4 linked regions of the Solanum lycopersicum genome follow. The protein of the gene in region 2 binds, or shares a complex with, the protein of the main gene of each other region. Links are inferred from orthologs where the notes say so. Each region holds a gene or a part of one and is shown on either strand. Other genes may lie near its edges. The genes, in order: general transcription and DNA repair factor IIH subunit TFB2, general transcription and DNA repair factor IIH helicase subunit XPD, general transcription factor IIH subunit 2 and general transcription and DNA repair factor IIH subunit TFB4.

Evidence for each region.
Region 1: general transcription and DNA repair factor IIH helicase subunit XPD (region 2) and general transcription and DNA repair factor IIH subunit TFB2 share a complex: the UniProt entries of both Arabidopsis thaliana proteins name them as parts of the 7-subunit TFIIH core complex. The link is inferred for Solanum lycopersicum from reciprocal best matches to the Arabidopsis thaliana genes UVH6 and AT4G17020.
Region 3: general transcription and DNA repair factor IIH helicase subunit XPD (region 2) and general transcription factor IIH subunit 2 share a complex: the UniProt entries of both Arabidopsis thaliana proteins name them as parts of the 7-subunit TFIIH core complex. The link is inferred for Solanum lycopersicum from reciprocal best matches to the Arabidopsis thaliana genes UVH6 and GTF2H2.
Region 4: general transcription and DNA repair factor IIH helicase subunit XPD (region 2) and general transcription and DNA repair factor IIH subunit TFB4 share a complex: the UniProt entries of both Arabidopsis thaliana proteins name them as parts of the 7-subunit TFIIH core complex. The link is inferred for Solanum lycopersicum from reciprocal best matches to the Arabidopsis thaliana genes UVH6 and AT1G18340.

Annotation. Positions count from the first base shown.
Region 1 is NC_090801.1:59,304,910-59,312,656, reverse strand, and holds the start of general transcription and DNA repair factor IIH subunit TFB2, read right to left. Parts: upstream 4,852-7,747; 5' UTR 4,699-4,851; coding exon 4,586-4,698; intron 4,114-4,585; coding exon 3,946-4,113; intron 3,280-3,945; coding exon 3,211-3,279; intron 2,643-3,210; coding exon 2,549-2,642; intron 2,381-2,548; coding exon 2,280-2,380; intron 2,149-2,279; coding exon 2,100-2,148; intron 2,022-2,099; coding exon 1,962-2,021; intron 1,286-1,961; coding exon 1,217-1,285; intron 906-1,216; coding exon 822-905; intron 727-821; coding exon 643-726; intron 304-642; coding exon 218-303; exon of another isoform or gene 1-217. Other genes in the region: uncharacterized protein, read right to left, coding at 5,570-5,662, 5,935-6,077, 6,252-6,305, 6,594-6,669. UniProt on the Arabidopsis thaliana protein: Component of the general transcription and DNA repair factor IIH (TFIIH) core complex, which is involved in general and transcription-coupled nucleotide excision repair (NER) of damaged DNA and, when complexed to CAK, in RNA transcription by RNA polymerase II.
Region 2 is NC_090805.1:2,933,033-2,940,758, forward strand, and holds the start of general transcription and DNA repair factor IIH helicase subunit XPD, read right to left. Parts: upstream 4,392-7,726; 5' UTR 4,244-4,391; coding exon 3,704-4,243; intron 2,788-3,703; coding exon 2,507-2,787; intron 1,658-2,506; coding exon 1,581-1,657; intron 1,487-1,580; coding exon 1,083-1,486; intron 531-1,082; coding exon 337-530; intron 164-336; coding exon 1-163. Other genes in the region: uncharacterized protein, read left to right, coding at 5,556-5,600, 5,791-5,919, 6,117-6,242, 7,223-7,477, 7,573-7,726. UniProt on the Arabidopsis thaliana protein: ATP-dependent 5'-3' DNA helicase, component of the general transcription and DNA repair factor IIH (TFIIH) core complex, which is involved in general and transcription-coupled nucleotide excision repair (NER) of damaged DNA and, when complexed to CDK-activating kinase (CAK), involved in transcription by RNA polymerase II.
Region 3 is NC_090803.1:54,340,490-54,348,412, forward strand, and holds the start of general transcription factor IIH subunit 2, read right to left. Parts: upstream 4,998-7,923; 5' UTR 4,763-4,997; intron 3,705-4,762; exon of another isoform or gene 3,640-3,704; intron 1,374-3,639; 5' UTR 1,370-1,373; coding exon 1,109-1,369; intron 152-1,108; coding exon 1-151. UniProt on the Arabidopsis thaliana protein: Component of the general transcription and DNA repair factor IIH (TFIIH) core complex, which is involved in general and transcription-coupled nucleotide excision repair (NER) of damaged DNA and, when complexed to CAK, in RNA transcription by RNA polymerase II.
Region 4 is NC_090805.1:46,429,104-46,436,814, reverse strand, and holds the start of general transcription and DNA repair factor IIH subunit TFB4, read left to right. Parts: upstream 1-2,383; 5' UTR 2,384-2,467; coding exon 2,468-2,498; intron 2,499-2,601; coding exon 2,602-2,699; intron 2,700-2,808; coding exon 2,809-3,052; intron 3,053-3,406; coding exon 3,407-3,453; intron 3,454-4,183; coding exon 4,184-4,221; intron 4,222-4,296; coding exon 4,297-4,342; intron 4,343-4,503; coding exon 4,504-4,557; intron 4,558-4,661; coding exon 4,662-4,730; intron 4,731-5,563; coding exon 5,564-5,640; intron 5,641-6,370; coding exon 6,371-6,466; intron 6,467-7,376; coding exon 7,377-7,449; 3' UTR 7,450-7,711. Other genes in the region: uncharacterized protein, read right to left, coding at 720-806, 1,358-1,432, 1,528-1,563. UniProt on the Arabidopsis thaliana protein: Component of the general transcription and DNA repair factor IIH (TFIIH) core complex, which is involved in general and transcription-coupled nucleotide excision repair (NER) of damaged DNA and, when complexed to CAK, in RNA transcription by RNA polymerase II.

The sequences.
Region 1 (7,747 bases), on a different chromosome or scaffold from region 2:
AGTTCTTATCTCAACTCGCAAATGATACAAGTAATGCATTTCTTGGCAAGCACCAGACTAGTGTCAGATTTGATGGTATTAATTCCAACAAAAAGTAGCAACAGAGTCCAGGTAATGCTATCAAGAGGAGAGTTAGCACCTGTTCTTTCCATATGATCTCTTTTCTCAACCAAACTACAGAAAAAAACACAAGCAGCAGCAGCAAATCGTTTGGTACCTTGCAAAAAGGCGTAGGATCTCACAGTGCAATTTTGATGTTGAATATGCATACAGTCTGAAGTTTGTTTCAATAACGATAAAACCCTGATGAGTGTGGGTGGGAAGGCAAAGATGCATTTGCAGTCAGTAAGGTATCATTGAACTCGTTTCAAACTAAGCTATCTTTATTCTTACGGTTTTCTTATAAAGCAAGTGTATACAGAAATTTAGAATTTTATGCTTCCTGTCATCCAGATTTTTTTATTTATTTTTTTTCATTATCAAAAAAAATCTGGATGACAGGAAGCATAAAATTCAAAAATTTCTGTACACACTTGCTTTATAAGAAAACTGTAAGAACAAAGATAGAAAACAAATAAATAAATTGGATTTCTGTGTAACTAGACCCAACTACTCTAGGGAACACTTGCGAGTGCAGCATACCTGTTTCCTAGTAGTTGTATCCGCTAAGCTAATTGACAGGTTGGTCGCCAGTTTGGTCGGAATAAACCAACTCTCTTTCCTTCCCTAAACAGCATCAAATGGGTAATTAAGAACATAATAAAAAAGACAAATCTTTTCACTCTCGTGAGCTCATTGATGGGGCAACAAGGAGTATTCACCTGCTGCAGCTTGACCAATCCCAAATCTGAAAGGTCCTTAATTATACTTCTCTGGAGATCAGTTATTGTGTTTGTATTGTATGCCTATATCAGAAGAAAATTCAACAAACATACGAAACTTGAGCATACTGAAGAAATGAAGATTACAACTGTGTGGTTGGGAAAATGGTTGAAAGACTTCGTCACAATATTTTTCAGTTTTTCAAATATTGTTTTTTAAAGTCAAAGTACAAAACTTTCTGCAAAAACAAATTCACCACTTTTCAACCAAACATCTGAGTGCTCCAGAACCAGAACTAACTAAAATTCAAGCATTTAGAGTTCAAAAGATGGTATCATTACTACAGCTCCAGGACAAACTTAATTCAAGAAGCTCTAGAACTGTCTAATAATACCTTGCCAGTAACATGAAAGCTTAGCTCCAAAAGAAATGCAATAAGATCTGCTGAATCCACTCCTCGCTCCTGCATTAATATGAAAAATACAGAGTAATCATTTAATATCATTAAATTGTCCAAAAGTTATACAAATAGAAGTCCATACTAGACAATCCAAATAATGGTCATAGGCACAATATCTTCTCAACCAAAATCTTAAATCAAAGAAAGAATATCTTCTTGATTCTTGCTTGTATTAACTAATTTAAAGAGGTAAGGAAACAAGGAAAAAGTGCCTAAAATATGTTATCAGCAACGATAAAATCTAAGGTGGAACTAATAAGCTCAACTCAACTAGGTTCCAATCCCCAAACTAATTGGGGTTAGCTATATGATCTTGTATGAAACGCCTGTATCCAATCTGCACATTTTTTCAGTATTCAAAATAGTTTGACTATTGCTACATTCGCCACCGGTTTCCCTCAACTCTCTTCCTCTATTCAGGCTTGGGAATGCTTTCGCTTTGACGACCTTAGAGAGGCAGAGTAGGTGATATAATTATAGCAAGCTCTACAAAGGCCGAAGCTGCATCTCTGAAAATTCCTCCCTACCTATCTCCAAAGTCTATCAGAAGACTAGCCGCAAAAGTGAGGGATAAGCAAATGTCAAATGTAACTGAATTACAACACCACCCAATGAACCAATGGAGCTTGAGACACACATACACACACATGCAGGGAGAGAAGGAGGTGGTCAGCAATACCTCAGCATTTGTTATGTACTCCCTGATGATGTACCAAAGCTGTGCATTTGTGTCCATTAGCTGTAATATGCCACCAGTCAATACAATTTCCCAACAAAAAAGAACACTAATTGATTCAGATAATTCAGTAAATCGTACCAAGAATTGGAACCCACTTTCAGTCAACCTTGGAGGTTCTCTATCGTCTCTGCTTAAGAAGGCATGAACTCATGGAGATTATATCGATTATTACAAAATCATAAATACACATGAGGACAAAGAACTATACATATGTTTTCTGCGAGTAAATATATATCCATAACACTGAGGTGGACGTACCTCTGACTTAAAAGTCCACGCTGGAAGATTTTCATCATCGAAGAGCTTATGTTTGTGGTCTTTCCAGCTTCACTGGAGCTTATAAGGTTCAGCAGAAAGCACTGGTTGCGACAGTTGCAAGTCATAAAAATAGTTGCCAAAATTATATTCAGGCTGCAGTTTGATCAAGACCGAAAGAAAAGCAGATTGTCTCACAACATATTATTACACATTCTGAACGCTCCTGGAAAATCAACGGATAAGAACTACTAACAAAATGCAAGTCATACCTCCCATTGTTCGACAGCATATGCCTCTAACTCCTCCAAGCTAGGAAGCCTCACAGTGATATTAGAAGGCATTGGTTCCCTTGGTAAGACTCCACTACAGTAATTGAAATCACATATTATAGTGCAATTACAAGACCAAGGTTAAGACAGATATTTCAGCATCATGTAGAAGTATTACCACAACAAGTTACTGTATCAAGTTTAGCATCTTATAGGTCAACTGAGGGTCAAATGTATCAGGGTCAAATTCTGAACTTGAGCCCAATTAGAAATTTAGCAAGACAAATCAAGAAGTCATATAGGATGAATAAAATGGAACATATACACAAGTGTGAATATACCTACAACAACAATAATAATAATTATGCCTCAATCGATCAATCCCAAACTAGTTGCAGTCACCTACATCAATTCTCTATATTAACTCAACTCAATTTGGGCCAACTTTATTCAAATATGCAAATGAGTAAAGAAATCGTTCCTTCGAGACGGGGATTAATAGGCCATGAATCTGGTGTCTAGACGCCAAATGTCATTGACTAGTACTTCTACTAACTGTACATGTACTTTCATTTTTAGATCACCCATCTCAGAGAGGGCTGGCCAGTAGTGATCATTAACACCTACAGAGAAAATAACATAAATAAGATAATAAAGCTTACCCATAGACTATATGCTTCTGAAGATTAAATTGAAATTTTGGGTTTAGTTGATACATGGCTTCCTTTTTCCTGTAAGAAATCAAAGAGAATGGCAACGTTCAACAATCAAAAACTGACTATAACAACATGCAAAGATATTGTGGATCACCCTGACCAGATTTCGTCATTCCAATAGTTGAGACATGATTTCTACTACCTAAAACTTCTATAATGCTTATAAAGAGCAAAACTTAAAAGGAAAAAACAAAAGAAAGATCAAGCATTAACAATTCAAGATATTCCCTTTAATCATGCTTTTGCTTATTTTGACCAAAGTTCTAACTTTGCTCATGTGTATTTAAAGTGCTAAGTGAAAAACATGACAACCAGATAGGATCAAGCGGGAAAAGTAAATACAGACCTCTATATAGCATCCGCCTCCGGTTGAGGAGGAAATTTAACAACAGGCAGTGACTTTGTATTCCATTAGAGATAAAAACTCCATCTTGTAAGGGTCAAAATTCATTGATAATGTACAAGCATTATTTAATTTTGAATTGCTGAAATATGATTACTTCTGAGATTTTAAATTTAACAAGTTTATCCTCTTTTCTCACATTAAAAATTAGATTTTTTGCATCTCTTTTTTGCTTATAACAACCAAATAAAAATTTAAGTGTCAAATGTTGTTATAGGTCAGCGTTATTCAAGACAAAAATATAGCAGCTATCAAGAGAGAAGAATCTGCTCAATAACCTGTCAAATGTTTCTGTCATTACTCTCAGCTGTATCAATCTATCAATGGCAACTTTATGCTTTGAGAATCCATCTGGAAGCACCCACTCCTCCATCGACTTGGCTGTAATTGGTATGTCTATATACAACATTTGCAGCACATACTTCTTCGCTAAGGGAGGTAACGATCTAGCAGAAATGAACAAATTAAGCACATAATATAACATGTTTCAAAATAGTATCACCAAAAGTGAATTCCCTTGATATAGCTCGAGGTGAATACAGTGAGTGCTAAGTACTAGTGAATTAATCAATCTCTTGTTGCCATGGATACAAAAAAAAATATACTCCAAATACTTTCTATAAAAACAGTCAAACATTAAAAAATTTGTGCTTGTGTATGTTTATACTTGTGTCAGCACAGCACTTGCTGCTGATTAACTTCATCCATCTATGACTATAGCTTGAAGTTCATTTCTCCATAATAATAATCTTAAAGACAAAGTAAACAACTTTTGCATCCAAATGTACACAGTACATATCACTATATGCTAAAATGGTGAAATTACATCCATTTTTACAAGCAGAAATTAATCCTATAACTGGTTGTGCAGCAAGAAAAACTCTTAACATTCGATCAAATTGGGGATTTTTAGAATACCTAAGAATGGCTTCACAGATAAAGGAATTGTCGTAAAGCATGTCGAGTTTCATGACAGGCAATGAAGCCACCATGTCCATGAAATTCCTGGCGACGATCTTCACTTGCGGCATTGTTGTTATAGATCAAATAAAGGTTTTCAATACTTCAATTTCTCAATCTAGGGTTTTAGCTGTTGTTGAATGATGATGATTCTCCCCTAATTTCTGCTAATACATATTATCGCCGGATTCATAAACATTACAGAAACTGTAGATTTATGTATTGAACCCCACTCGGGCGAGCAAAGGTTCTTTTCTCTTGCTATTTGGGCCAAAAACTTTGAAGGCCCAATATGAATTGGACCGCATTTTTGGGTTCAGCGAAATACTACTTGGTATCGAAAATTAATTTTGTCATGTAGTTTCAAATTTCTCGAGTGAAACTCTATCATATTTTCATAAAAATTAAATTCTCGAATGCTTATGAAATTTCCAAATGTCGAAGCTTCTCAAACCTATTGTAAGCAAGTTGTCACTTATCTCCCAGGTAACTAATTTCTTCATTATGATTTAACATTTTAAATTAAATATTTTTTGATGGTATAAATTATGTAAATAATTTTCACATGATTAGTGTAGTTTATCCTCCGATAAAGTATTATTACCCGTCAATATTTTCATAAAAGATTTACTTACATAATTACGTTGTAATTTATAACTGCATAAATTTAAACTTTATGAGCATTATCTTCTATTAGATTGTTGTATTACAGAAAGAAAAAGTTAACACTTCTATTTGCATAATGAAGTTACAACAATAATATACTCAGTATAATCCCACAAGTGGTGTATGATTAGAATAGAATATACACAGACCTCAATTGTACCTTTGGAGGACTAGAGAAACTGTTTCCTATAGTAGAAATCCTAGCTCGTAGAATAAACTATATATAGATGCTATTCTTGCCCATTACAATTAGTTGCATTAAGAAAATCTTCAAGTTTACTTGTTTTTATCAGCTGGCTCCTCTTCTGCTAGAGTCTTGGAAGACCTGTTTGATTGGATTTTATTTACTTCCTCAGTAGGGATATCAAACTGCACAGTAAGATAAAAATAAAAACATTTGACAGCATCCAATAAAGCAAAATGGTAATAGGCTAACGTAACATCTAGAGTTAGTGAGGGTTCAGAATGAACGTGATCTTATTAATATATTACGTGTTTGGGTTCAGATGAACCTGCAACAGTACTCATCCTAGATCCGCCTCTAACCAATTGACATGAATTGCATTTTTCATAAACAGAGTGGATCTTAAGACTATGTACAGCATGTTTTCCCTGTTTTATGTACTATACAAGAAACTGACCTTGAAACCACAGCCAGCTACACAAGCGCGATGACAATCCTCAGAGTGGGTAGCAGAACCAGGGGCGCGATCAATACAAGCACTCCATTGTTGATCCTTCATAACCGGACCCTTATAGCACATCTCATCGCATTGTTCCAAACCTGCACATACCTTTTCATTTCTATTCTACCTTAAATTGAATACAGATGCATTGAGGCATTAAACGCCTTAACAACGATATGATTTCCTATATCATTTTAAAATTTGAATGTTCCTTTGTTCTACATGATACATACATCTGCAACATGAAAACCAATAAAGTTTAGGAAACTTACATTCTTCCCATGTATCGCCATCATCATCACACGCCTTTTTGCAAAAAACTCTCCCTACAAAAATTTTACTCATGATAATGTATAATTTAAAACAACAAATAAAATGCATCATTATCTATGAGTCTAAGTATAAAACAAGTCGTTATTCTAACTAATTCAAACATACACGTCTCAATCCCAGACTAGTTAGGCCCAGCTATACGAAGGCCATCTTATTCCATAATCCTACTAATTGGTTAACGGTGAATCGAATTACTTGGTACTTATAACAAGTTCAAATATTAACACAAATATAAGACCTTTAAATTACAATTGAAAGGGGGAATTAAGAGAGTAAATTACAAGGAATTTGGGTGAGGGCTGAGAATTTATTTGTGCATTGCTTGTTACAAGGTGGTGCCCATTTCTGTGGAATCATTATTTCTCTCTAATCTTTAATTTTCGTATTTTGTTTTATCTAATATCAAATTTTGCAGATTTTATTTTTTTTAAATTATGTGGAAGATGAAGATAGTGGATTTTAATCAAATAAAAAAGAATATGCAGGAAATGGGGGGAATAATCGTTGATTCGGAAATTTAGGCGACTTTGTTGTTCTTGCTTTTGTTTTACTGCATATTATTAGTTTTGAGTACAAATTATTTCACTATAGTTTTATATCAACTTTCACCCTTCTAAATACCCCTATTTTGATTTATTTTTTGATCTATTTTTTAAAAAATGTCATTTTTCTTTCTTTCTTTTTTAAATGCAATTTTGTAATTTCAAACTTTTTCACCATATACCTTTAAAATCACAATACTAAAAATTATTTTGGTACATTTTATATAGAATTTAATTTTATGCAGAAGCGGAAACTCACTTCCTTTTTTCTGTGTGAGTTTCGGAAATATCCCCATTCATAGGTCTGAGATCTACATCTATGAAGAATTGAAAGGTCCGAATGATCAACTCTGCAATCAGTTGTTAGAATCAATAGGTCTTCAAATTGTTCATTTGAAAAAATTGCAACCCTTCTTATTGGACGATCATGATACTTCCCAAAAATCAAAATTCTTGATCAATGGAGGAACAATATCACCATTTTTGTCCAATAAGATGCCAAAGTGAATGATTGACTCATTCCATACTAGAAATAATCGCAGGAAATCCTTTAATAACCCGGATTCCTATTTCTCAACATGTCCTATAACTTAGAAAAATTATATATATATAGGACATGTATTTTCTTAGACACATTGAGACCCTACTAGCATTAATTGGATGTGCTGGTTTATAAATGGTGCACATTTTCTGAGGTGTTTGTGGAGGTTCTGTTTGAATCCCATTTACTATTTTGTCTTTAAAATATTGAAAAAAAGAAGGTGTTGGCTAGTTTGAACTTAAAACTTCATGTGCTAAGTTAAGTTCAAAGTCACCAAATCCACAAAACAAACTTTATTTAGTAATAATCATTTCATTCATATTTATACGTGCATTAGTCATATATTAATGTT
Region 2 (7,726 bases):
ATGCCAACTGTTGACAATTCCATCCATATAAGAGTAACTGACAAAAAAACAGACAACCCCATCTGGAACAACAGAAACCATTTCTAGCAAAAGCTTCCCATAATTTTTCTCGACGCCCGGATCGCTTCTCAGGTCATACTTAGTGCTTACAGGAAGCTGATCACTGCAATTTAAGAGAAACACAAAACAGATAACATGTACTAAATTCTTCAACATAATCAAACTAAGAAACACTCAAACAGGATATATGCTCTTCTTCTCATCCACATCTTGTGAGTGGGTTGGGAGTTGAGATAGGTATAGTCATGAGAGGTCAACAGCAAGTCAAATGTTTACCTTCCCCGGGTAAGGACCATTGGGCATATGCAATCCCTTGTCAGTGACATCTTGAAGCTTCGACTTACTACCGGATTAAAATTGAGAAGACGAGGATAGAGATCAATTGGACTGAGGGTCCCCGAGGTAATCACAACAGATTGGAATCGTTCAAAAACAGGCTTTATGGCAAGAGAGGCATCGTGACAGGTAAGCTGGCAAGCCAAAATATTTCTGATGTAAGAAAATTGAGCACTAATCGTAAAGCAACTTAAAAAATTATCAATGGCAATTTAGATATCTTCCCAGTTATATGCATTTCAAAACAATATAGCAATATTTTTATGGACAGATGTGCATTACAGGAGACATGGACTATGATTAGACTAATTAGAGGCAATCATTACAAAAAGATCAATATAAAGAAGGACAAATTGATTCCCCACTCAGGTAAGAGGCATCACAATCGTAAGTGCCTTGAGAACAAATAAAAGACCAGTGCACTCGAAAATCCAACATCTGAATGGTAAAATATTTAGAAACTAATAACAATAATTTTCAATATATAGTATTTAACTCAAGACAAGTAAATGACAAAGCTAGACAAGTAAGTGTCTTGAGAAAAGACCAGTGCACTCGAAAATCCAACATCTGAATGGTAAAATATTTAGAAACTAATGACAATAATTTTCAATATATAGTATTTAACTCAAGACAAGTAAATCACAAAGCTAGACAAATATGTCCCAAGAGAAGCAAACACGCACCTGCAGGACAGGATCAGGAATATGTGGCATCCTCTCGTCATATGGTTCAATTATAATGGAAAAGCCCCGAGCGTACGTCCCTACCAACGTGGCAAGGTCACAAACAGTTTGTATATGCAGAAACTCATCTGTATCAGTAATCTCCAGGGTTAACATAAGGGAGTGAAGCCTATCATAACAAAATTTTAACATCTTTTGATCAATTCCAACTTGTGTATTAATAGAAGCAACAAAGGCAACAGGGCCTTCTTTTTCTACATTATCAGTCTCCAGACGCCCATTAAGATACTGGACAAATCTTCGCAAAACAGACAAGAAATGCTCTGCTTTCCTTATATTTCCTGGCACTGCCTCCTTCATGATGTCATCAGGCAAGGCGGGATTAGCAAGCCATACATCCTGAGCTGTACAAAGAAGATAGATGAGAAAGAAACTTGGCTTACTATCACTTGCACAAGATTAGACGTACATCGTGAACGAACACTTTAATCAACATACCGGGCAGTCTTTGAGCTAGACCCTCAACTAGACGATTATACTCAACCCGCAATCGACCAGCATCAGTAGCCTTCAGCCTTCCTACCATGCAAGATGTTAGCCAAACATGGGTATCTCACCATCCTTTTACTTTACTTCTCTTCTTTTTTCTTTACGTATTTGCCTTTACAGGGCTTGTCCAAGAGAGGGTTATAACAGATCATTACATCATATATAATAGATTGAACAATCTCCAAGGTATTTCAAATCATTTTTGACCCAGAAAACTACAGCATGAAACATAATTCAAATGCTATTAGAAAATTTATACTTCTATGCTATCAAGTAAGAATATGCAAACCATGGTTCAGCATGAAATGCTTTATAATATTTTATAATGAAAAATGTTTTACAATGTTTTGATTTGCTTATATTCCATTATTGTTTACAAAGTCTCGTGTCATCCTTGAATTAGGGAGTCAGTGATACTTACTTAGTTGAGTGAAGTTGTACTTATGCTCCTTTGAACTTTGGAGCAGTGTTGATGTTTGTGGTTGTAAATACAGGCAATGCCCTTAGAGTGCTATCTATGGAGAAATGAAGAAAGACAATAAAGAAAGAAAGGAATAAGGTACATTCTGGTGATCAGAAGGATCACCGGAGAACAGGAAAGTAGGAAATATCGAGCTAGACTATAAACTCGATATTAGTGCCTGAGAGAACTTCTTCTAACAGAGTTTTTGTTAATCCTATTTTAACTTCTTATTATATCAAAATTGATTCTTACCATGAATTCTTGAAACTAAATATATTCATTATTGGGAGAAATTTAAAACTCAAAAACGATATCTTTTGAGTCATTGTGACAAGAAGAGGTAATTGTTTTTTGCTTGGTTGTTAAAAGATTGTCATCGAAAGAAGAGGCTATTGTCACAGAAGATATTTACCTTTCAATTTCATTAGACATCCTACTGAGATTCCTTGTTGCCCCTTCAAGTGTTTGCTTCCTCACACTGACACTAAGTGCCTCAATACATACATTGTCTATATTATGGGCCTCATCAAACACTACGACACACTCTCTCTCCATCTCCTTTGATATGATACCAGCAACCTTGGGATCAAGAAGGTATTGGTAGCTGTAAACCACAACATTTGCCTGCTGCACCATATGCCTCGCCAGAAAGTACGGGCACCAGCCTTTCTCCTTACCAAACAATCTTAGCTCCTAAAAAATGCAGAAACAGCCTTAATCATGACAGTAAATGTTCTAGTGAAGAAATAGTCTTTACAACATATAACGCAGAAAAACTCTTCACCGCTGCACAATCAATTGTTTCACTATAACCCCTTATCCAACCACATTAGATTATAGGCATAATACATACACGGACACTCAAACTAAGTAAGCACTCCAACTTCGAATATGCACATCTAGTCACCTCAACTTACATCCACTGTGTCAGTTGAACACTCCAATCAACAAAATGATCATCTAAACACCTCCAAAATTTATGTGTCACGTCAACATCAGGTGTCCACGAGACACAGTAGAGACGAGTTACTCCTTCCGTTTCAAAAAGGATGGTCTAGTTTGACTTGGAACGGAGTTTAAGAAAAGAAAGAAGATTTTTTAATCTTGTGGTTCTAAATCAAAGTTATGTCAAATATACCAAAATGCCCTTTAATCTTGTGGTCTTAAACATACCACGTGGAAAGTTAAAGTTAAAGTGTTACCAAAAAAGAAAGGGATCATTCTTTTTGAAACAAACTAAAAAGGAAATATGGTCATTCTTTTTGAAACGGAAGGAGTAAATTGATTAGGTACCAGTTGAGACCAAGTTGAGATGTCAAAATATGCTCTATCAAAGTTGGTGTGCTTACTTGTTAGTTGAGGCCAAGTTTAAGTGTTTGTTTAAGTATTATGCCTAGTTTATATAATAGATGTCATTGAACCCTCCACAAGCAAAGTCAAGAACAACTAATTTATTTCCACACGAAGCAAACAAAAAAAGTTATCTTTCACTTAACTATAACCATCTAAAACATATAGAAATAATAAACCACATTCATCTAGCTAACTCCAACTAAGTTGGGATCGAGGCATAATTAATCATGCATTGATTGAAGGGTGAGAGATATACCTGCAAAGTATAAACTCCAGCAGGCAAAGTGGAAGTACCAGCCTTATCAGCAGTATCATAATTCTCATAATAGGAACAAGTAGGAATATTTGGATTTTCAACAGCAATTGCTCTAACCCAACTAGCAGTAAGTTTCCTACAACCAGCATCAACAGAATCCCTATTCTCAGCAGAAACCACAGATGGGTTCACACACAAATTCTTTCTTGATGACAACCCAATTGCCAGCATTCGAGCCCCCGGCCCGAAATGCTGTAACTGATAATTATACAACAATTTAAGCTCAGCTAATGTTTTCTCCATTTCATGTACAGTTCTTGTACAATAAAGAAGCTTAATTGGATTTGATGGTTTTGAAAGTCTGTAACTTGTAATTAAAGAAAGTAAAGCAATTGTTTTACCAGTTCCTGTAGGCATTTCAAGAAGACAATGCCCTTTTGCATCTAAAGCTCTTTTGAGTTCTAACATGTATTGATACTGTTCTGGATATATGTTATCATATGGAAAATAGATTGTTACATCTTCTAATTGGAATTTCATCTTCTGGGGTTTGCTGATTTTCTTGTTTTCTGAGTGAAAAAATTGAATCTTGGTGAGTTTTTTTTTGAAGAAAAATTGAGACCTAAGTTCTTCTTTAGACCCTAATGTTGTATAGGATTTAACAGTAAAGCGGCAAAGAGTGAGGGGTAGTTTGGGGGGGGGGGGCTCTACTATATTTGTTCCAATTATGTACACTTAAATAAGGTTTAATAATACTTGTTCCAATTTACGTGATATAAATATCTTTTTTTTTAAAATATTTCTTGGATGTGTAATACTATCTTTTGTTATTTTCTTCTACATTTGTTTTGTACCTTGTTATCTTGAAATTCTTATATTTTCTTTTTAGAAACAAGTTTATCTTAAATAGCATCTCTAATCCACAAAGATAAAAGTAAATTTTGTGTATATTTCACTCTCAAACTTTACTCGTGACGTTACATTATATATGTTGCTTTGAATTTATTTATATAATGAATATTTTAAAACACACAAAAAACCTTAAACTAAAGTTGATCGAGGACAAACAAATAGTTCAAGAGTCTAATTTATCTCACATAGAAACTGGGATAAAATAATCTCATGTTGAATAAGGCAAAAAACCTTAAATTTAAGTTGAATGAGAGCAAACATGTAGCGAACCTTAAATTCAAGATGAATGAGAACAAACATATAGATCAAGTGTTAGTTTACCTCATATAGAAATTGGGGTAAAATAATCTCACGTTAAATAAGATAAGATGCAATATCTCAAGACTAAAACTTAGATTTATATCGGGATCTAAACATATATAGAGCCTGACTAAAGTTGAATCGCGCTCTGCAGGTTGATTAAGGGTGGGCCAGTCCTAGCACTACACCACAACTCGTGTTGATAACATAATATAGATCAAAAATCAAACTTAGTCATAAGCTATCCGACCACCGTTAAAGAATGTCGTACGATGAATCGGGTTATTTCTTTTTTAACCATAAGTCTCGAATTCATGTTTTGTGTATGGAAAAATCCTCTAACAGAATCTGAATTAATCGAATTCAAATACGGATATCAACCGTCATATCAAGGACAAAAAAATTATTTAAAAAATCCCACCATGTACTACCCAAACAACCCCTTAGAAAACAAGTCAACAATATAAATGCAAAGGCAAGAAGACAACTTTGTGCAATTTATAACGTTAGTATGTGTATACTCTCCTATTTAAAGAGTACCTCATCATCAGCTCCTTCGAAACTAGCCGTTACATATTCAATTTTCTCTCTCTAAAACACACACACACTCTCTCTCTCTCTCCAAATCCAGAAAACTCAAATGACAATCTCAGTAGAATCTTCATCCCCTGCTTCCCTTAACAAGGTACTTTATTCATTAAAGATTGCAACTTTAGATTTGTTTTTATGTTATGACAAGTTCTGTTGATTCTTTAGCTTCGATTATTGTATGTTGTTGTTCATGATTGTTGTTTTTATAAAAAAAAAAACAACAATAAAGATTGCAGCTTTAGATTTGTTTTTTTTATAAAAATTGAATTTTTCCACCATTTCAGGGTTCACCAAGCTTGATGGGTTCTTCACCAATTTACAGTCCATCATCAGATAAACGATTCTGGAGTAATCTTCGCAGTAGGGTAGATACTCTTCTTGAAAACCGCGAAAATCACAACCCTGCTCAAAAGGTAAATTGGGCTTAAATTAATATTCAAGATTTGATTTTTGGTAGCTTTATTGTAGTTTGCTTTTTGCTACTATACTTGTACCTCGATTATTGTTTTGTTGTGTTAATGGTTTAACACGAGTCGAGAGTATATCAGAAACAGTGAGATTTGTTTTTGGGTCTCAATTTTTGTGTATTTACTTTGAAAATTGTTTGTAGCAGCTCGATGGAGCAGAGGATCGATCGAAGAGGATGAAGGAGGATGCTATGCTTTTACTAAGAGGATTTGATTCAGTTTCTTCCTCTCTTTCACTGTTATCTGACAATCTGGAAAATGCCCTTCAGGTATCCCTTGTTTTAATGTTTGATCAAAAGCTCATATAGGATAAAGATCTATGATTTTTCAAATGTTGGGATGCAATTTTGGTTTGTAAAATTGAGTTTTCTTACCTTAATTTGGATGAGCATTTGTGTTTGTTAATCATAACTGGTGGGCACGGAGTAGGGTAGTAAATTAGTAGGTAATAGTGTGTTGTCTCAATATCAATTTCCTTTAGTTTGATTTCTGTTACTATTTGTTGTTTCTTGTACTTTGGTTATCAGTGGCATAGTGTGGTGTCTCACTATCAATCAATTCTAGTAGTCGTAGCATTACTATTTTGTTGTAGTTACTGTTTAGAATGTTGTAGCTTTCACTTCCATTACTCCTTTTCTGGACTTGCTTCGGACTGTTTTTCCTTGAGTCAAGGGTCAATTGGAAACAACCTTTCTTACCCCCAAGGTAGAGTTAAGGTCCGTGTACACTCTACCCTCCCCAGAGCCCACTTTGTGTGTCTATACTGGGTATGTTGGTGTTGTTGTAATCATAAATAATTTGCTAGATGGGAATAAAAGAAGCACCTATCTTGTTTGTCAATTGTCATTTATGGATTTAAAATCAGTGTATATGCATATATGTAGTACATATAGGATTAGTGGTGTGAATTATCAATGGCCTCTTGTTTTAAGGAAGATAGATTAGTCAAAAAGAAGATTTGATTCGTAAATTTGAGGTCCTTTACTCAGTATAGTGCTTTCTAATCATTAATAGTTGCTAGATGAGGTTAAAAGAAGATGTTGCTCATAGATACTCTTACACTTCTGGAATGTAACATTTTGAGGCGTACATAATTCATAACGACTATATTTTGTTGAAGTTTAAGAAGTGTATTTGGGAGTATAAATGCACTGCATGATATAGTTGAAAAAAAAGCATACAAGTTGAAATTCTGTTTGCGAGTGCATACATCGAGTTATTGATCATGCATCCTGTAATTTTCATACAGGGAGCAAGGGATCTAGCAAAACCACCCACATTGACAGATATACTTCATTGCACAATGGAGAAGGCAAGTCGAGAAAACCAATCAAAGGAAGGTAAACACGAGGGAGATGAAGAAAAAGAAGAGACTGAAGAAGGAAATAAAGGATTGAAGAGGAAATTGGACGAATGTTCAGAGGATTCACAACAAGATGATGATACCAAAAAAGAAAATGGGCAGGTCTTGAAACATATTGGGAAGTTCAAGAAAGCCAAAAATGTTGGTACCCGTCTCTCTCAGTTTATTTTTTTTTTTGGGTGTTACATCACCTTTGCATTTGTGTTCACGATCTAACTTGACATATCTCTGTGAAGCTTGCAATTTCCATGGCGTCAAAAGCAGCCACGTTAGCTCGAGAACTGAAATCAGTGAGATCAGACTTGCGCTTTATGCAAGAACGTTCTGCTCTGTTGGAGGAGGAGAATAGAAGGCTTCGTGATGGCTTTGACACTGGGATACCACCAGAAG
Region 3 (7,923 bases), on a different chromosome or scaffold from region 2:
GATCTGTTAAGCAATGAGCTACTCCATCTTTCAAGATCACCAAGCCAATTTGACTCAGGGGATTCTGGTCAAAAAATTCTCTTATATAAGCCTCCACTTGTCTAGCAACTACAACCATTCGGCTTGGTTTATAATCCATTTCTGCAGCTGCCTAAAATTCAAAATTCAGGTGAGCAATTACAAACTCAAAAGATGTAAAAGTCCAAGATATTATGAGACATTACTGTCTCTCTCTCTCTTTCAAAAAGTCATTTTTAAAGTCATCCAGACTTAATTGAAATGAACGCTAAAAGTCTCTACTATTATGTCGAGATTTCTAGTATTCAAAGCATTTTGATTTTTCTTCTAGCTTTCCAAGTTGGCGTGGGTGTTGCGGAATATAAGCATGTAGGAAAAGTATCAAGTAGATGCAACCAATGCTCACAAAAACTTTCGAGCAATGCGAAAAAAAGAAAACTAGGAAAATGTCACGGAAAAGGATGCTGACATCTTGAAAGGAGAACTATCAGCCAGAGGCTTACATGCAAATGTTTAAGATTGTCTGTTAAAGCACCTTGTCAATGATAAAAGAAAACGTCCAATGCAGTGATAAGCACAACCCAATTAAGGGACATTTTCAAAATGCAATAATTGTCTTATAAACTCAATTCACAATTTTAGAATTTCAAAACGTGGTTTAAAGAAATATGGTGACATCAAAACAGAAAGTAGGTATACACTTGAATATTCATTAAACTGATCGAAGACGACCCAATTGCTTAGTTTTATCAATATCTTATAGCATAATCAACCAGTTGCAATCACTAAATCTTCAGCCCTAGATGCAAATAGAAATCCATAAAACAAAGAGCTGCTGGTTCTTTAAAAAGGACCCTGTTGTGTTCCTTCATAAGAAACAATTTGCTAGCATCAGAAGAAGATCAGCAGATTGTCTGGGAAATTGGACCTGATTAACTTCTTCCGGAGATAACTCATTTACAAACAGATAACTATAGATGCTTAAATAATTGTTTCATATTTTGCAAAAAAAAAAAAAAATTAACCTTTAAATGTCAGTAACCAATTACAATACTGCAGTTATTTTGCAATCATACAGGATTTTACATACCCTGGAGAAATCAATGATAATGTAGAGGTACCGAATCAAACCCTTCTGAATTCGTGCAGCAGTTGCAGTGCGGAGACGTCGTCGATACTGAGCATGGGATAGAGTTTTGTTGTCAATTGGACGAAGGAGTCCTGATTCATCCTCTTGTAAAGACTCCCATGATCTTTCATCTGCATAAGTTCTTTCCCATGCTTCTCGACCTCTCCCATTTTCTTCCTCATCCTCCTCTTCTTGATTAAATCTTTTTTCTTCCGTGTTCATTTCCCTGTTAGATATAATACCAACTCTTAATAAGATAACCAGATACTTGAGAAACTAATTGTACAAACTCAGTATTAGTACAAGATACTGTATGTAGGTGTTCTGAGTTCCTTGCATTACACATCCTTACTACATGCACTATTTTCCAATATGTACCTAGTCCTTTGCTATTTCTATGCTTCACTTTTCCCCCTAAGTGTGTCACGCCCCATTTTCTCGCAAAAGCGGGCTTCAACATGTGACAACTCTTTTAATGAGCTAAAGAGAAGAGTTATCACCTACTGGGTTAAGGTGTGTTAGAACACCCTAATTTTTTTAATATAATTGTGGTGTCCGGGCCAATTAATTCCATGGGATACATGTACCTCTTACCAAGAGGTACTAGGTAACGTCCACAAATGGGATGAAATCACCTTATTTTTTGTCTCTACTGGGATTTGAAGCAACGACCTTAGGGTTCTCAATCCACTTCATTCCAACACCCCTCTTGCGCATTAGGGAACCTATTACTACAACTAATTGCAAATAATTCAATTTACTAGTCTCCACAACCTGAGATCATTAAGAGTTCAAATCACCTCAAAAGAAAAGTAATAGGCATCATACAAGGTTCACAACTAGGTTCCCTACAAATTCAAACTAGGTGGGATTTAAGTGCTTAAGCTAGATAATTTTAACTGATGTAGATGATTAAAGATTCAAGTAGTTGTATTAATCTAAGTGACACAAGTAAAAATTAATGCTAGGAAGCTAGGTGTTAATGTAGAAATACGATTTGGAAAAATGAAGAGAGGAAGCTTCATTGATAAAGAAAATGCATATAATATTTGTACAAGGAAACTAGACGTAAAAAAAAACAATTGAGACTACAAAAGACAGAGGTTTTCGTTGATAAAAGGAATTTGAAAATGCTCTTCATTCTAACAAGTAAACAAAGAAACACTAACAGATTAATTCTCGCATTCATAAAATTAGAAATATTCTCGGAACTCTCTTTCCCCTACTAGATAAAAGTCAAAACTTTCACCATCCCAATGATTTTCTCAAGTCAACAAAACATACTTACAATAAGATTCCTCTAACTAAACAAAAATTAATTCCCCAACTTCAATATTTTGATAACAATTCAAAGTTCTTTGAGTAATTGCAATTAACAACCAAAAAAAACAAGGGTACGGAGAAACTTACTAGAGAAAAATACCTTGGAGGTTAGAAGATAGAGATTGATGTGGGATTGAGTGAATCCGCACTTTGTTTTGAACCAATTCTTGATGAACCCTATGTACTTGAGTTGTGACTTTTACACTCTCATTGAATTTCCTCTACTATTTATATGTAGTGTGTTTTCTTTGTTTTCATTTATTTAGTATGTTATGTATTAAAAAATTGTACTATAAATAAAGATTTTCTCGATTTATATTTAAAGTTTTCAATTTGTTTTATTTTTCTTTTTCGTATGTTATGTGTTTAGAAATTACAAAAGACATAGTATTATAAATGATGATAATAATTAATAATTTGAAATTTAAATCAATTGACTCTTTAAATTTCACTTGTACCACATAAACTGAGACAAATTTATATATATTATTTGTAAATTACATAAAAAAAATTATAAATTACAACAATTAAACAACTTATAACATTTAAAACTCACATAAAAATTTATTGAGATAAATAAAGTTATGTATATTTAATTTGTGCTTGCACAATTGAACGGGCTCTTTGTAACTAGTCTATATCATAAGAGTGAATAGAGAGGATCTTGAGGTCAAAAGGCTTATTTGGGAATTTACAGAATTTATGGACCAATTGAATTTTTCATGGTATCTTCTTTAAATCAGTGTTTTCAAAGGCATTTTTGTGACAAGTATTTGAGTGTTCAAGAAATGCTTTGAGGCGCAAATTAGGAGTTTACATGGTATGGTATATATCAAAATATCATACTATATCAAAATTTTTAATATCATGATTTTGATATCATTGTATATTGATATATCTTTTAATTTTTTTGTATTTGATATTTAAAATATCATATCGGTACTTATGCTTAACAAACACATTATTCCTAAATTAAAATTTGAGATCAACACTAGATGGATACAAACTGATCTTGCAAAAAAAAAAGAAAATAGAATCAACTAATGTTAGTGCTTATGCTTAACAAACACATTATTCTTAAATTAAAGCTTAATATCAACACTAGATGGACACAAACACATCATAAAAAACAATTGTACTTGAACTTTAGAAATTTAGAAACACCAAACCTTATAATTAAAGTAGCAATATAGTCTTGTATCAACTTTTTTAGACGTTGAGTTTCCTTAGTTGCCTACCACGAAAAGAAACAATTGAAAATTTCTTTAGTGGTCATTATAGAGAGATTTTAGTGATTATTAGCGTTTGACAGTTAGTAAACAAGTTTGTGTTGTTTTTTCTTTTTCTTGATAACTCAAAATAGGTTTCTCCTATTTTCAATACTTCCTCTCTTTTTTCCACTAGTTATTGTAATGTATATGTTACCATGATTGTGTCCGGGGTTAAGAAACCAAGAATTCCAACAAGAATGTTCAAATTTTAATGTATATAAACAACAACCAAACTGTAGTTGTAACTTTAGTCTCTTCATATTGCATCAAATTTCAGATTATTACATTTAGACTGTAGTTGATTCAACTGGATGCTATACTTTACTAGAAGCAATACTAATGCAATTGAAGTATGTAGTCAAATCCATTCAGTGCTTTAGTCTGAGTTTACAACACCTTGAAGTATTTGCAGACTCCTTTATTCCATGCACAAACACAAGTTTTCAGTTCATAGTTGTACATATATGAGATCTCTAAAGTACAATCAGTATTATAAATCAATATTGACATCAAATTGTAAGGCATACACATGTTATTGGTATATCTGTCCAATATTGGGAAGGTAGAATTGTATATGATGATATGGGAATGTGTTGTATTGGTTAGTTTATTAGAGCAACTGAAACATAGATAATATGTAACAACAGCATACTGGTTTAGACACAAATTCAACATGCACTTAACATTCTCTTACCGTTTTCAATATATTGACTGTCCAACTTGCCAAAATCTACATCCTTATGGGGAAAGTTTGGCACTTGACAGTAAATCAAAGAGAACATGTCAACAACCAAACTCAATTGAACACATTAAAGTGTTCAAATTTTAATGTGTATAAACTCAATCGAAGGATCCACATTGAACAACAACCAAACTCAATTAAATGACCCCTTCAATCTGTCCAACCCAACCTATTGATGACACTTATTTTTTGATTTTATTCAAACGCCAGTTATACATACTACTAATAATATAATCCAACCCTATAAAAAGATACAATAGAAGAGCTTGATTACATTACCTAATCTGCCGGAGTTTGTGCTGCTACCAGAGTTTTCTGTTGCTGCTGCCGAAGTTTGCTGCTGCTGCTGCGACTTGCTGACGATCGAGTCAGGGAAGGTAGCGCGACCTCCTGCTGCTGCTGATCGAGGCAGCGCCGGTCGGGGTTGGGTCGAGTATGGGTGGGCGTGAGAGAGGTTTAGAAGGGAAAGAGAGACTTAAAACTTAAAAGGTTTTTTTTTTAGAGATTATCATTCTTTTTTAAAATAATTATTTATATTTATAAACATTTTATTCCAAATAAATATGGACATAATGAAGTTGATATTTTTTTTTTTAGAGATTATCATTCTTTTTTAAAATAATTATTTATATTTATAAACATTTTATTCCAAATAAATATGGACATAATGAAGTTGATATTATTTAAATAAAATAATAATTAAACATATCAATTTTAATATAAACTCACCTTAAGAGGTCGAATATATTAATTAAAATTATATATATTTATAATAAATTTAATTTAACTACATCAACGTAAATTTAATGTTATAAATTTAAATTATATATCTTTTAATTATATAAATTTAATTTTATCGATTGATAGAAGTTTATCGATATCAATATATAAATCTCCTTAAATTGAACATCGATATCTCTTCTTTAATTGATAACATATTTCATATCTGAACCACTAATCTATAAGACTTGATTTGTTAAACTACTCAAGGAGTATATAATTAATGTATTTCACACTACGAAGAATTATCTTTTACATGTCCATATTCTACGATATGGTCACTACACTTAACAACCATTCAAGATCGAACATAATAATCTTAATCGAACTTGCTTTGTACAATGATACACGGTGTTTTATAATCTGTTTCATAAAACGAGAGAAGACATTGAAGGTTATACGTACAAATAATTAAACAACTAATTATAAATATAAAATTAATAAATAGTTATCATGACGTTTCTACAAGTATTATCTCGCATTTATACTCGAATAGATTATAGGTTGGTTCTTCACTTCTACATGATTATATGAGTGTCTCCAATGAAATTTGTCCTAATTCGGATCCACTACAATCTATGTCTATATATTGGAGGCATTTGAACTATCTTCTATCCTCTTCTCACTACTACCTTCAATGGAGAGGTCGATTTCTCGGACCATAGAGAAAATTGCAAATTTGAGAATCTAAAAAATGCAAAATGCAAATTTGGTTGCTGCATGTGATGGATTTCACTCCAAGGCAGCACCTTCTCTTCATCCTCCATGGAAGTTCAAGCTCAAAGACGACCAACTCTTTTGGTTGTTCATTTCTGTATTTTGATTTTGGACAAAGTAGTTTGTTTTGGGACAAGATCATGACATGATATGTTTGTTCCTTTTATTTCTAATAAATGGTCCCTGCTTTGATCATTTGACGACAAACTGAGAGAATTTGTACATTACTTTCTAAATATAAGTATAACTATTTGCTAATTCATATCAACCTAATTTTATACTCTAAATATGAATTATCGATGTTATCTTGTTTATTCCACAAATTCTAACTTTTTATTCAAAAGTATACAAAATTGTTATACTTTTTCAAACAATTAGTTGAAGGTGTAAGATGAAAATTTAGTATTACGTACAATAGCAAAATTATGATTACTAGAAATATATTAAACAAACCAACCTATGGATATCGCTTTTATTAAAAGTAATTAGATTCAATAAAAAATACATACCTCATGATATCAATATCACATCAAATTTTAAGATTAATAAGAAATCTCATGTTAATTAAACAATATTGACATTAGAAAGTCGGTATTATATGTTAATTTATTTTTTAACTTATCTAAAACCATCATCCGGAGGACGATTTATTTAAAGTTAATTGAAAATATTAATTCATTAACTTCTAGAAATTATTATAATATTTTAATGAAAATCAATTTAATTACATACTATTTAGTTTTTCCGTCTTTCGTAAGTCGATATTATATTTTTTTTTATTTTTAATTTACACAAATCGCCCTCCGGATGGCGATTTAAATAAAATTAATTCAAAATATTTCTCAGTTTTGTGTTTTATATTTTATTGAAAAAAAATTATTATTTATTTATTTATATTTAGTACCGACATCAAGAGCACAGTTTTATTGCAACTCATTTTTTCGGGAAAAAAGAGGTCAGTCTTTGATTTTCCCGCTTTATTTTGCATAAAAATCGACTCCGTGTAGTCAATTTTTTAAAGTTGTTTTTATTCTTTTTAACAATACCGACCTCCAGAGGTCGGAAATAACCGACTTGCATTTGAGGTCAGTTGGTTTTAGGTCGGTATTCACAATCACACACGAAATCAAATTTCAATATATCAAATCATACTGAATTAAATTGATATGTAATATTATAATGTTTTTAAAAATCAAATATCAAAATTACAGTATTAAAACTTTAAAATACTGCATCATACCATGCCAACCCTTATTGCAAGTTTAAAGAGTAGATTTATAAGGCATATGTCCTAGATGAGTATAATATATTTTTTTATATTAATGATAATTTCATAAAATTTATTTTTAGAACTGTTGAATGTTTTACTTTTATATATTTTCTTAATAATAAAATTATAAAATTGGACATCATAAAATATATGGCATGTAGATTTATAAAATATATATCTGTATCACAAGACTTATTCCTCACCCCATGTTGTATAAAACGTTTGTAACGATCCGCTAGGTTGCTTTGAGAAATATAACTATTTTAACTCTTTTGTGAATTAAAATTGGTAACTTTAGGCTGTTCATTTAACTAAGACTATTTAGTTAACAAATAGATTCTAAATATGCAATTTAATTGGTGGTTAATGGGTCAACTCTATAATTTATTTACGGAAAAAAATTTAAAATGTCAATATTTTAGCATGTAATAAAACTTCTTAGCAACACTTTCAATATTTATTTAAAATGTCAATATTTTAATTTGTTATGTATCTGATTTCTATTTTTATTATTTGTTTTAATTGAAAGAATACAATTATTTAATAACAAAAGGAGTAATTTAGGGGAAAAATTATTTTAAAAAATGAACATATTTACTTAAAATTCTCATCAGCTACGAATCCAAAAGTAAACTACATGGCATTGTCCCCCTTGTTGATCAAAAATCCAAAA
Region 4 (7,711 bases), about 43 Mb from region 2:
TCAATTTGATATTCTTTAAAGAAAAAAGTTCAACACTTCAATTCAACCAGAAGAGACTATCCTAATTTTTATCACCGAACAAGGTTATTTCTAAAATAGTTGTATCGCAGGGTTAAATCTAGGAATTGAGTAGTCACTGATGGAATCATTAGTACTTGGCTCCTATTTGATAAGGTAGTACTATAGCTCCCTTGTTAGTCCATATTTCAAAACAATACATTTAACCTTGTAATTTCATACTTTTTTCCCTTTATAAGTTTTTTGCCGAGTTAACTAAGCAAAAGAAAAAACATAAAGGACCTCTGCAACTCTGAATTGGATATCTTCCTTTAACTCTCTAATATAGTAGCATTAACTCACTTGTGCAATAGTTGAGGACATATAAAGTTTGCAGATCCACCATAACGCACATTGGCTCATTCATTCTAGCAGTGAATCAAAATTTCAACCTAAACAGTGAATACATGCTGCTTTATTTAATTTCATATACATTCCCTTAGAGTTTCACTGTGAGAAAATCCAAAGTGCAGTTTACTATCTCTGTTTCAATCATGAGAAGATGCTGAGTTAAAGAAATAGTTTCAGGTTACTTTAAACGTATTAAAATATTAGCCAACAACCTGTAAAAAGCAACAAAACTGGAATTTTCCAATAAAATCTACAAAAAAATAACAGCAGAAGTGATACTTGGATAATTCTAGAAAGATAGCACCACTCACTCTTTTGTGTGAGCTTTCAATCCAGTACTTGTTTGGCTTTGAAAATCTCAAAATACCTGCTTTGACGACAGTTACAGCATCATGATCCTGTCAAAACGGGAAAAATATGTATAGAACCTCATATATATTTATCTTGAAGGCAGTTAGAAATTATAAACTTTTGATGCATTGCCTCCTTATACTTAGAGCCACAGTAAGTATAATGCTGAATAGAGTACTATCATCCACAGAGGAAAATAACCATATACAGGTAAAGTGCAAGAAAAGCTAGCTTTGAATACATTAGCTTTAAGTCTCTTTTTGATACATATAGAATGAGAGAAAAAGAACAAATTTTTTTTTCAAAATAGCAAGAACTATGTGCCTACAAATGTTGAGTTCTTGGTGTATCAAACAAGTAAATTGTAATAATCCAAAATCAGTGAGAGAATTAATGTATTCCCTGAATGTGAGAAGGAACTTTCTTGGTGCTCTGAACAACAAAATTCCAACTCACTTACCAGAAAGAAAAAAAAAGCAAGAACAGTGTATAAAACATAAAAAGAACCTTTTTTTAAGCTAATATTTGTATATACAAGAGCCACAAACAAAAATCTATAAACCCATGAGACAGAAATCAAAGCTCTGAGAGGAAAAACCTGTTGGAGGCCGCCACCCAGTTTAATCGTTTGGTTAGTCATGCTGGAAAGATCTAAAACAACATCACCAGGAACCTAATCAAAACCAAAAATACAATCTTTTTTGCATCAAACAATTTATACACTATAATCTGGCACAAGAAATCGAAAAAAAAAAAGTTTGTACTTACTACTGGTTTATCAATGAAGCAAGGTTTCGAACCCATTGTATTGTGTTTTTCTTGATTGAACAGAGTGTTTGTGTAAAGTCTTGGGGTTTATGTCTCAACAATGTTAAAGATTGCTAACCTAGCACCCCTTTGTTATCAACATAAATAGTTTTTATACAAAGTTATATTTTTTAAAAAATAAGGAACGAAGAAACTTCTAATTTGGGTTAGAGGAAAATAAAAAAAAATTATATTTTTTACGCAAATTATATAATGTCAATAGCTAATTATATTTCATTCTTACTATATTCAAATTACTAAAATTCCCTAAGTATAGTGGAATCCGAATACATTCCAAAGCATTTCGATACATCGTATCTATGTTTCAGATATGTTGCATCTCGATTATCTGATACATTGCTCACATCCTCATATATCACGCAAAGTGATTTATTCGACTAGTTATAATTTTTTCAAATAGTAAAAGTTTTAAATAATGTGATAAAATAAGTTGTGTATTTAATTTTCCTAAAAATAATAAGTACTCCTAGGTAGGGAAAATTAAAATAGAGAATTAAAAATAAAGGGATTTTTTTTTAAAAAAATAAAAATAATAATTTGGATTTTAGGGGAAAATTAAAATAAGAAATAATAAAGTAAAAAGTTTGGGTTTAGGGAAAATTAAAATAATATGTAAAAAAAATTGACAGCTGTGGGATTTGAACCCACGCCCTTTCGGACCAGAGCCTAAATCTGGCGCCTTAGACCACTCGGCCAAACTGTCTTTTTGTTATGATAACGATGTTTTTTTTTATTAACAATTAATTATCGAAGTCTTTTTCTGTTATGATTCAATAAAAATAAGCATTATATAAGTAAAAAGGCAAAGCCCGACAGTATATTGCATCGGCGACGCTCTCTACACCTGACCGGTGAATTAAGGTTTATTCCACCGGCGGCCATGACACCGGTTTCATCAAAGCTTTACGCAGGTCTGTCTCCTTCTCTGTCTGTGTAGCTGAAGTATGCAATAAGTACATGTTAGTGGAATAAGAGGAAAATGTGTTAAAATTAATCTCTTTTGAATACTTTCAGACGATGTGAGCCTATTGATGGTTCTGGTTGATACAAATCCCTACTTCTGGAGCTCAATGAAGAACACTGCCTTCACATTCCCTAAATTCATATCACACGTAAAGACCCCTAAAACCCAAAATTTGTTTTTTTTTTTAAAAAAAAATGAATAGTTTTGTGTTCTCCATTTGTTGAATTTTGATGCTGGAATGTATGGGGGAAATGCAGGTTCTTGCTTTCTTGAATTCGATACTTTTACTGAATCAGATGAACCAAGTAGTTGTGATTGCAACTGGGTACAATTCATGTGATTATGTATTCGATTCGTCTACCTCGTCAATGCAAAGAGCTGAGTGTTTGTTGGAGAAACTGGAGGATTTTGTGGATAAAGATGAGTCCTTGAGTCAAGAAGACTCTGTTGATGGAGTTGGGTTTTCGCTGCTTTCTGGTGCACTTTCTATGGCTTTGTGCTGTATCCTCAATCAGTTCATGTCTGTTGGTTTTTTTTATATTCTTATTGAAGTGAAATTTTAATGATTTTTATTGAGATGCAGAACCAAAATTTGGACTTGCTAGGTTTATTCTTTGAAGCTCTTAGCACTGAATTTATTGACTGTTGAAATTCTAGATACGAAATCTAATCTTTTTGGTTAGATTTTAGTTTTTCTTACTTGTGTATTCATGTTCCGTATTTGAAAATACTGAGTTTGGTTGAACCCGTAGCTATTAGCTATATCTGCCACTGGTTTTTATTTGTTATTGTGCATAGCTTTGCATTCACGTTTGTTTAGAGGAAGTGTTTCTCTTGACCTGTGTGCACTGTTAGACATTCAACGGGTATTTCGTTCAGGGCCTCTTCATCCACAACCTCGGGTAAGTTCCTTATTTTACAAGAAACTGAAAATGGGTTCTTCTGGGATTTTGAATTGATGGAATTTGTTATGAGAATTTCTACTTGTATTATTTTGTTTATCCAGTTACATTTATAGATTTTATGCTTATGTGAAATTTTCCTGGTCGATCCATTTGGGATCGTAAGCTTTAGCATTTACAAGCATAACATGTTATTATGCCAAATACCTTATCCATGGAAATATCTCTCGTCCAAGGGGAAAAAGAACTTCGAGTTTTTTCCAGTGATTTCTTTGGCCTTTTACGTTTCATGTTAATTCTGATAGTGTTTCTTAACCCCAAAGGTGCATTTAAGGGGGTTTGGTGAGGTAATACTTTAAGTTATTCTATGTTTTATGTACCTTAAACAAAACCATCAATTAAACTTCAATGTGCCCTGATTTATTTGTACTGCAATTTTTATCCAATGGTATAGTGAAACTACCATTCCCATCCTTATCAAGAAAAGAAAAAACTAGCATTCCCGATGAAATGCCATTTCTGGTCCCATTTCATTGGCAATTTCTTAATGTGATATTATCAGATATTACTACATCATTTTTGTGTTTGTTAATTTGATCATTTATCAGTAAGGTAGTTGTTAGGAAAAAAAAATCTGTCTTCTCTTGTTTTATACTTTAAAATTTGATCCGTTTTTGTTATGTTGGATATGAATATTGATGCTAAGAAAATGTGCTTGAAATTATGGCAGATATTGTGTCTGCATGGATCTCCAGATGGGCCGGGACAGTATGTTGGATCTTCACAGCTTCTACAATCTTCTCATTGTTAGGTTCTCTGCTGAAACATGTTCTTTTTTTGCAGATATGTTGCAGTCATGAATTCAATTTTCTCAGCTCAACGTTCAATGGTATATAGGATTTAACAATTCTTTCCTTCAATTTTCCTTCTTGATTAATTAGAAAGTTGTCACATGTCTTCATAAATGTAGAATTTTCAAAATTAGGGATCGGGACTTAGATTTCCATATTGTGATCCTACTCTAAGAAATGCAATGCGTTTTTATTGCAGGTACCCATTGATTCATGTGTAATAGGATCTCAGCATTCTGCTTTTCTTCAGCAGGTAGCATTTCTATACCTGAAAGTTCTGGTTGAAAATCTATTCCTTCTCAGCATGAGTTATTTTCTGGCTCACTGATCTTATGGTGCATATCTATCTGGGAACAGGCTTCTTACATAACTGGTGGTGTATATTTGAAACCCCAAGTATCAGATGGACTGTTTCAATATCTCTCTGTAAGTGTTATTAAAATTATTAATACTAAGTTGTCTCTCTTTGTCAAAAAAAATACTAAGTTGTCTCTAGCTTAGCATTTTAACTTGTCAATAGCATGGATCCAACATTGAACATCTACGGTTGTCTCCAGTGCTGCCTTCAGACATTAGTTTCTATCTGATGTGTAAGCATGTTGAACAAGTCACTATACTTTGATTTGTTTAGTGTATGCAATTTTTGTTTCCAAGGAGCTTACACTAAAAAGACCTTCCAAAAGTTTGACCTATTTTAAATCTGGTATTAAATATTTAATATATGTACTACTATTGTTGGTGTTGGAGATACAGTGATCAACCAAAAGGCTATGACTGAAAGTACCAATGTACTCTTTGTGGACTTAGAAAATCTTCTCCAAATGTCTTCTGGACTGCCGCAGTCCGATGGCTTCTCCTTTTGCCCTCTATAGTGAACTTCTCATGCTTTGTCTCTGTGAGTAGGAGATAATAATATCATGAATGAAGATGTGATTGTTGTATGACCTTATTTTCAACATTTCGTTCACGTTTCATGGAATGCAATAGACCCATTGCTAAAACCACTTCCACGACTAGAATACAGTATCTACACCAGAAGTTATATTGAAATTGATTTCTTATTCAAGATGTTCTTTCACATCAACAAGTTGCATATTTCTGTCTGATGCGGTTGGTGTACTGTGCTTTCATTCACCTGGTGTGATCTGTAAGATGGTTAAATGCCTTGTTTTATTTTTGAGATGTTTTATTTGTAGAATGTCTTGTCTTGAGATCTAATTTTCCGTTTGAAAATACTGACAAGACTGTAATAAATACAGACAGTTTTTGCGACTGATTTACATTCTCGGAGCTTCTTGCAACTTCCCAGACCTGTTGGAGTTGACTTCCGTGCATCGTAAGTGATTAGTGTGTCTATTATTCAAGTTATGTCACATATGATGAACTGGTAATATAATATTTGGTATGTATCCTCACTAATATTTTATGCACTCTTTTTGATGGTAGTATTCAACTTTTTGTATTGTCAATGTTCAAGTTCGTTGTGTTAGCTTATCTCATTCTTCTTGAATCGTCTCAAATTACCTACGAAGCTTAAGTGATTTATCCATCTAGCTCAATGTCATTTAAGAATGGTTGTACCACCTTTTCTCTTGCATTGTGAAAGCTCTTTCCTATTATACCTTTTTTTACTTCAATTAGACAAAAGCTTTCATCATCCACTCGTATTTTTGGCAGACAGAAATTCTCCTTGGATCTTCTTATTTGAGGTTGTTGTATCATCTGTTAATTTTGTCTTAACCATATCTTTCCCAACTCCCAGCTTTGAGTCATTACGAGTGTTACGAACTTGCAACTAACTTTTGAGAGTGCAGCTTTTGATAGGATACTTATCCTGAAAAAAGAAAACAATGTTTATCAAGGAGACCTATTCTCTACTAATAGCAAAAGTAGAGTATTTATTGAATTTCCTCCTATCTGGACTCAAATAAATCTGTGCTCCAATTTCCAGTCTATTCTTACAAATTCTTGGATTTAGCCCCCAATTAGTATTGGGTACTCTTCACCCCTTTACATTCCATTAAGTATAGCTGCTCATCTGATTATGTTGTGCGACTAATTTTCAGGTGCTTTTGCCATAAAAACACGATTGACATGGGTTTCATATGCTCTGTTTGTTTATCAATATTCTGCAAGCATCACAAGAAATGCTCAACTTGCGGGTGAGTATTCATTATAAACTTATTGAAGTGTCTCATTGATGAACTTCTCTTTTTTTCATTAATTATGCTGCATTAAGAATAATGTTCCGTCCAAAGAGTTCACATGAACTTGTGATCATGTCAATGTTACTGTCAGTACTGGTTACTTTTTGATCAGTTAGGAGTTCTATTGCTGTACACACAAGGAGTTGAGGTATTCTAATGAACAGCACTCTTATATTCTAATAGGGAGAGTTGCCATGATTTACATGCCCTAGCTTCATTACATCAAGGTTTTAACACTAACGCTAAAAGATAAATACATATTTTCAATCTATGTACACTTATGTTTTCATTCAAAATCTCTAGCCTTCTCACCTTCTAGACCGCCCACCAAATACGAGAAGGGAACTAGAAGTATTGGTTATTGGTTATAGTTTCATATTATTTACAAGGACAAGGGTGGCATGGACATAATAATGTGTATGCTAGTTATGTGATTTTCACTTATTTGTTTTGCGACATAATATCTGCTAGTTTTCTGGAAAGGTTGAACTCTGCACAGCAATTATAGGGATAATAGGTGCAGTTAAAAGGTCCTATTGAAAAACATAGAAGCTGAGGCAATGTTACCTACCTTGCACTATGTTAACTATCTGAATTTCTTGAGAGAAGATACATGAACATCACTCACCTAGTAAGTGCTAATGGATAACTTGTCATTACATTTTAAGGATTCTTTTCTTGTTTCCTGAGAACATTTCAGACAAAAACCGAAGACACAGGAAAAAGGGTTGCTTGATTCCATTTTAATATTGTAGAAGTTTATCTGTAGTAGCATCCTAACTGTTTTTCAACCACTCACTCCGCTGATAACTCAATTCATTGAGTTTGGGTATCCTAATTTTTAAGTTCATGCCATAAAATGCAGATCAAATTTTGGGGAGGCACGAAAGCAGGATCCCTCAGCCTCGGATCAGAGGAGGACTTCATATGGTAGTTGAATAGATAATCCTAAAGCCTATTTAACACCTCAGGCCATTGCCACTACTGTGTTTCAATAGATTTCTTATGATATGAACTTCCAGATGGTTATATTAAAGACGAGTCCAAACTGGACTAATGATACTAGACTATGTTTCAGCAGCAGGAAGAGGAAATTAAGGAAAGAGGGAGCTTGACCTTTTTCCAGTGTCAAGAATCTCCTTCTCTAGGTGAAGGAATACATAGGATGATTCTAATGAACTTGTCTGTATTTTATGAACT